Linked DNA regions of Xenopus tropicalis. The protein of the gene in region 1 interacts with the protein of each later gene in a pairwise test. Links are inferred from orthologs where the notes say so. Each region holds a gene or a part of one and is shown in the gene's direction. Other genes may lie near its edges.

Evidence for each region.
Region 2: the proteins of med4 (region 1) and tnfaip8 interact in binary tests that used the Homo sapiens proteins (3 or more experiments, as listed by UniProt). The two-hybrid records come from large-scale screens. The link is inferred for Xenopus tropicalis from reciprocal best matches to the Homo sapiens genes MED4 and TNFAIP8.

Annotation. Positions count from the first base shown.
Region 1 is NC_030678.2:134,874,521-134,878,175, reverse strand, and holds part of med4 (mediator of RNA polymerase II transcription subunit 4), read left to right. Parts: intron 1-388; coding exon 389-455; intron 456-2,184; coding exon 2,185-2,355; intron 2,356-3,655. UniProt on the Homo sapiens protein: Component of the Mediator complex, a coactivator involved in the regulated transcription of nearly all RNA polymerase II-dependent genes.
Region 2 is NC_030677.2:170,621,454-170,625,208, reverse strand, and holds the start of tnfaip8 (tumor necrosis factor alpha-induced protein 8), read left to right. Parts: upstream 1-1,099; 5' UTR 1,100-1,253; coding exon 1,254-1,254; exon of another isoform or gene 1,255-1,264; intron 1,265-3,755. UniProt on the Homo sapiens protein: Acts as a negative mediator of apoptosis and may play a role in tumor progression.

The DNA of each region.
Region 1 (3,655 bases):
AGAAACGAGTGGGCTGGCCGACCGATAGCTGGCCTGAAATTGGCCAGCTATCGGTCGGCCAGGTTAGAAAATCCAGTCTCGCATCATAATGCAACCCCTACCTTACTTAGTTCCATTGTGCAGTGAAGCATTCTGGGACTAGAAAGTCCCTACTTTCCATTGTGAGTGGTGCACAGATTCTTTGGAAAGCAGGAGGACGTCAATTACCAGAATCCATCACTACACAGTGGAACAAAGTAAGAAAGGGGTTGACGGTCATGGTTTTCTTTCAGTCTATGCAATCAGGTGTGTATATCTGGTTTCAGTTAACACCCACTTATCTTTAGCAGAATACTTCAGAATTAACTTAAAGCATCTACTGATGTGAAACCTGTTGATATTGTTCCAGAGAACTTATTGAAATGCTTGCACTTTCAAGGAACCAGAAGCTCAGCCAACCTGGTGAAGAGAACCAAGTGAGTCTGTAGATATGCAGTTTTGATTTACAGATTATAGAATGAATATAACTACAAAACAGTTGATTGCATTACTATTAATTTTACATATGTTACATCGTTTATATGCAATTGACATATTGCTAGCCTTGATGTAGTCAAAGGGATATGACTAGATAAAGGACAATTTGCAGTGTTTACATATTGATGAAATATGATCTAACTGTATATGATAAATATGATTTATATTTGAAAAGTTGTAATTCCTTTTTTATCAGTAAAAATAATCATTTGAGCCTGTCGACTTCTCTCCCTATTTTTAGTTGTATATATACCATAAAATTAAGCATCATCATGATAATAATTATTCATTTATAAAGTGCAATGATAACATAATTCTATTATTAAACATTATAACAAATGGGGGGGGGGGTCTTATAATAATTTAACAAACAAGTTATCGAATGAAATAGGATTTGACAGCCCTGCTCACAAGAGCTTACTATCTAAATAGCTTATACTTTCATCTAAATCTATAGGTATTCTTTCTTTTCAATTCAAAATGTGGCAATAATCCATCTATGTGGCAAGAGGAAAGATACTGTGCCTCCTCATCCTAGTTGGATATAACAACCCCAGCAGTATTTGATAGACACCAATAGGTTGCATTTGACTCTGTCTGCCCTCTGTGCAGTGAGCTATGGTAATGGCTTTTTTGCTCTCCTTTTAAATGGCAACAGTGCCCAGCAAATGTAACTTTTATTTGTATTATGGCTTACTATTTACTGCATGCCCCACTGAAATAAGCCTGCTGTATAATGTGTTAAACCCCCCAATCTCCCCCCCCCCTTCCTTAGTGCCCACAATGCAGATATTTGCCATGAAGGAGGAATAGCTGTTATGTGGGCATCCCTTATTTAAAGGAATACTATCAAGGGTACCAATGCTGTTTTAAAATACATTAGTTAATAGTATTCCTCACACAAATCCTCTGCTGAAATATAGCTAGGTTCAGAGGGCAGGTAACTGAGCATGCTGTCGGGGGGTACATTCCTCCTGGATAGTACTAAATGCAGAACTCTGCTGTACTGGTCTGTGAACGAGTGCAAGAATAGAAGGGTTGGTAGGAAATTCAGGTAAGGCACTGCAAACTGCTGGATTAGAGTGCCTTCTGTGGTACAGTGTGTGAAGTCTAGATAGAGGAGGAGCAGCAGCAGAAAGTATGTACTGAGACATGCTCTGTTGTGTATGACAAGGCAGTCTTACGGAGTAGTTACATTCTGTGATTCTGTTCATGATTTTAGTAGATACACAGCATGGAAATAAAATTTACTGACCTGGTAGATAGCAAGTATTATCAGAAGCAATGTTATAAATGAAAATTATAATAATATATAATTATATTATAAATAAAATATATGAAGTTACAAATTAGCAACTTAAGAGGTAATGCAATAAAAGGTCTAAAGTTTGCCCACACCTAGTAACCAACTGCAACCAATCAGATGCTTTCATACCACTGACCAGTAAATATCTGCTATCTGTTGACTGGTTGCTCTGGGTTACTAGACAAAATGCAGACTTGAGACTGTTTATTACATTCCCCCATTTATTTGGTAAAATACATTGTTTACGATGTGTATTACATAACAGGCAAATGCATTTTTTAGTAGTTAGTTGTTCATCCTTGCATTACCCTATCTCTCTCAGGTAACTTATCACAGTACCCAATTCTGTCTGTTTTTGTCAGATTTTAGAGTTACTAATTCAGAAGGATGGGGAATTCCAAGAACTAATGAAAGTGGCATTAAGCCAGGGGAAGATTCACCAAGAAATGCAGGTTTTAGAAAAAGAGGTGGAGAAGAGGGACAGTGATATCCAGCAACTACAGAAACAGCTGAAGGAAGCCGAACACATATTGGTAAGCTCTAGAAATAAACAACTGCTGGCAGCTTTTTGTCGTCTGCTTATATGGAACAAGCATGAGTTGATTCTGAGTAGAAATTTTTACCTCCGTGCTTATTCCTAACTGAGTAATAATCTTATTCCTAACTGAGTAATAATTATTGTATTGTTTTTTTAGGTATCTTGGTCCCCAGTGTTGCTATACTTTGCTTCAGGAAATGGGTTGTCTTGAACCAAAAGTACTTTTTCCTATGTATTAGCAATGCAACAGCTATTAGGGGACTGACACAACACTTTTATTAATAACTCCACAGCAGACAATCCAGTAATCCACAATGCAAGAGAGTTCTCTACTCACTTTGAGATACCACGGCAACAATTTAAATTTTGATTCTGTGTTATTTTTTCTTATTTAAATAATTCATTTATGCCTCTTTCCATCCTGGAATATGGTGTCATATTATCAGAATGACAAGTGCATTTTCAAGGATAAAAATCTCCTTACTAAGGTAAATTGGTAAATAATGCCATGCAATCTGGGGAAAATACAGTACTAATCTAACTGCACGTTTCCACAAGGTGTCAGTAAAGGGGTAGTTAAGTATATACGTTCTCATTTTAAAAACTAAATTTAGTTCAGGTCCTAAGCTGAAAAGTAATCACGTGTTCCACCACTTATCATAACAACATGGCATTAAAACCACTGTTTAATTGGAGCTAGCAGAGGGATTCTCTACCCAAAAACTGTTTTTACAAAACAAAAGGAAATGTAATTTAAGCAATTAAAATATAAATTAATTAAATAAAGGTTTTACAAATATTTATTGCAGGTGAATGTTGTATTTGTTTATTTCTTGCTGTTCTTTGGGTCTGATTCTTAAAATGTATCAAGAGTCATTTATTTTTTAGGTCCAGGCTTCAGTTGGCTTCTGCTATATTGTTTCAGAAGTCAGTGTCAGGAATGCAGACAATATAAACCAGTTTTTGTTTGGAGCTTATCTAAACTAATTGCTGTGACTAAGGAACACTAAGTTAGCTTTCTTTAGAATAAAAATACATGTATTTGGATAATAAAGCTTCTTTTACTAATGTTATCACTTTTTGAATGTTGGGGTCATCTATATTAGTGGATGTCAAACACAGGGCTTTCAGATGTTGTTGAACTACAACCTTCAGCACTTGGTGGGAATTTTAACCTCCTCTCTTTGCCTCGTATAATTTTATTTATACAGTGCTACTTTTCACTGAACAATAAATGAATAGAACAAATAGGGGTATTTACAATAACAAATACATAGGACAGTTGCAGTACAGAC
Region 2 (3,755 bases), on another chromosome or scaffold:
GCACACACACATGCACGCACACACATGCACGCACACACACATGCTTGTCTGAAGGGTGGGCGAGAAGGCCACTGACTGCTATGAACAATTTTGAAAGCCTGGATCAATACTGTTAAAACAAGGGCTGCTGAATTTCTGGGCTGACACAGTACAGGTGGCCATACACTGTAACATCCACCTACAGGTGAGCGATATCGGGCTAAAACAAACAAATTAAAATGGCGGGTATAGGCGCCCTCGGTTTGGGGACTGCATCAACGAGCCAATGCAGAGTTTGATCCGACGGAAAAATCAAACCTGCCCAATTGAGATCCGGCATAGATCTTGATCGGCTGAAATCGGCCCCTGTATGGCCTTGTTGCACATACAAAACACAGCATCTCTAGCCATATTCATTTTTAGGCTTTAGTTCTCCTTTAAAGGCAAACTGTAGGTTACTGAGGCAGATGCTGCTAACCAGTGATTGCTGCTATTAATAAACCAAAGGGGAACTGATATGGGTATGTACGTATGTATGTATGTATATCTTTATTTATAAAGCGCTACTTATGTACGCAGCGCTGTACAGTAGAATACATTAATACAAACAGCGGGTTAAAGATAATGGATAAATACAAAGTATAACAATAAATACAAATAAATACAAGGTACAGTTGCAATAAGAGTCAGAAACAAGATGAAGGAGGTCCCTGCCCCGTAGAGCTTACAATCTATATGGGAGGGGTAACTAACAGACACAAATGGGTACGTGCTTATTTGGGCATTTATGCCTAATGTATTTGTGGAGCATATTATAACAACAAAATGAAAGGTGTAATTGGGCAGAAGCTGGGCACGGAAGGTCACATGATGTTAGGCACCCTGCATACCTTCCCGTACCTGCAGCGCATTTGGGGAAAGAGAGACCAGAGGCGCGCCAGGCTCCCCCCCGGGACACGCCCCCTATTGGCTGACTGCTGCAGACACGCTCTTGCACGCCGAGCTATGTGTTGCCTCCACAAAGTATGCGCCACGCCCACACCCGCCCACCTTCCTGCCGGCCCCGCCCCTCCCCGAGTACCAAGTCGCTGTGTGTATGAGTTCGGCTCTGTCCGTCGCCTCTTCACTTACCGGCTGTGTGCCTCCTGTATGTGCAGAGCCCGAACGCTGCCTGAGGGCGGTGACTGGAAGTTGCCTCCTTTATTCCGACTCATTTGCCATCGCTAGAGGTGCCTGTGCCGTGCGCTTATCCCGCTCCGAGCGCCACTGAGCCAAGTAAGTGAAGGTGTGAGAGTTGCTCTCAGTGCTGCTCCCCCTGCGCTCCCAGCGGCTGCTCCGCCTCACCCTTCCGCGCCCAGCAGCCCGCTCTGTCCTGGGGCGCCTGTTAGTATGAGCTGTTAGTATGTCCTGGGGCGCCTGTTAGTATGCGCTGTTAGTGTGCGCTGGGGCGCCTGTTAGTATGCGCTGTTAGTATGCGCTGGGGCTCTCCCTTGCCCTCAGCGTGTAGCTGCGATTTCTGCCTATTGCTGGCAGGTGTTTGTGCTGTTAGGGAACATGGGCTTTGCTCCTGTCACATATAGAGACCCGTAGTCCCTGTATGTACCTCACTCCTATTAGGGGTAAGTCAGGAAAATGAAGAGAGTTTGCCCCCCTCAGGCCGGGGCTAGACCTGCAGCTTTCCAGTAGCAGTTAATCGCAGCAGGAACTATTTGCACTGGTGCTTGGTGGGCAAATGTCATCAGGGATTCTGCCAGCCTTGTTACCTGCCCAGTGCCTGGCAGCTGACAGATTGCACATACAGGGGGTAGGTACCCTCCTGCCAAGGCATCATGGATATAAGGCAGATGGCTACTTACTGGCTACATGCTGTTGCACTGAGCAGCATATTTGCTTTTATGGCCCCAGGCACAGGAATTGATGAGACCTGTCTGCAACACGATGCAAAGAGTAGCCACAAACTTGTGATTGGGCTGTAAGTGTCAGAATGGGGGTAACAGCAGTGCGCAAACATACTGGGCTCCTGTAGGGTGTTACCCTGCTAAATGTATTATGAGAGTAGTACTAGTCAGTGAACTAGAGATCTATAACTTTACAACCTACCTGCAGCTGCTAGTGAACTGTATATCCCACTACCCCTTCACAGTTTTTACTAGGTACTTTACAATTGGCAAACTTCTTCAGTCCAACCTGCATGCATCCAGGTCCTGTTAGATTGTCTTTTGTAGCACAGCCTTGATCATTCCTGAGTGGGGATTGCAGTTCAACAACAACATTGTGGGCACAAGTGTATTTAGGGAACAGAGTCTGTAGAATGATAATGCATAAAGGCATGCCCTGGCTAGAATTTTGTGCACATAGTATCACAATGTGAGCTAAGTCATGTTTAATTGTATTGATAGAAAGCAGCTTCTGAAATGGTTGTTAGATTCATTGTTACAATCTCACTGCTCTATTGTGGGAATGCACTTTGTTAGTATGTTTATTTTATCAATCAACAACCTGTTCTGCAGGAATGATTGTGGCTTTACTGAATAGTGCGGCACCTTATGCTTCCCTCTCTGTTCCACTGTATGAGCACAACCTGCCAGCAAATACAATGAATAGTAATTAGTAATTAAGAATAATGAATATATCTTTGCATGTGCTGCATTCTGTTTATAGTGTTCTTAATATAGTTAATTGCCCCATATTTATTGCTGTATTTAGAACGGCTATACTGTATGTCATTTGTTTTTTTATCTTCCCTGTACCTTTAGTAAAGCACAGAAGTAGAGGTAGGGAAGGCAGGGATATATATATCTATATCTATCTATATATATATCTCAATATTTTTAGCTGAAGTCTTCTTTATTTTTCCTAGTTTAGAAAGTAAAGTGTGAAAGCATAACTTACTGTACACAACTTTTTAGGAGTATTGGGGTTTATACATATTAGTATACATTGCTTGGTTTTCTAGAACCTTCTCCTAGGACTGATATGCCAGAGCCATTTTTGACCAGTTGTGGTATTGCTGCATTGGTGTGTTTTGTGGTGGTGCAACTGGAGCCAGTGGTATAGCTTGCCCCCTCTGTGGTATAGCTTGCCCCCTGAGGATGCAGGGTCTGCTCCCCCACTGACTGGATGCCATTAGACTCCAGATTAAAATGCAGGGCTGTGGAGTCGGAGTCGAGGTGTCGGAGGCAATTTTGGGTACCTGGAGTCGGAGTCGGCAAAAAATGAACCGACTCCGACTCCTACTAAATTTAAATGGGAATAAAAAAAAAAATAAAGCAAGTTTAAATGTCCCAATTCACAAACAGTCATAATTAATTACTTCTCCGCTATAAGAATAAAGCCCAATGCACACAGTGCATAAACGAACACGTTGAGTGACCATGAAGCATGCTTTTCATTGACTGTATGAATGTATAAAATACATTAGCATATTAAAAACAGAAGAGTCGGAGTCGGAAGTATCAGAAACTGAGGAGTCGGAGAATTTATCTACCGACTCCACAGCCCTGTTAAAATGTCATGTTGCTGATTCCAACCCCCCAAAAAAATTAAAGATTCAAGACTTTTTTTTTAATCTGACCCCTGTTGTATTGTTTGATAGCATATATTTATTAAGCTCCAACATATTTGGCAGCACTGCACAATAAATGGGTGTATACACTGAACATACAGATTACATGCAAAAACAACTACTGACAGCCCATGCAAGAGATAAAGAGAGCCCTGCCCAAAAGAACTTGCAGTTGTGTCAATCAACCCCTGCCTGAGAGATGGTGCTGAAA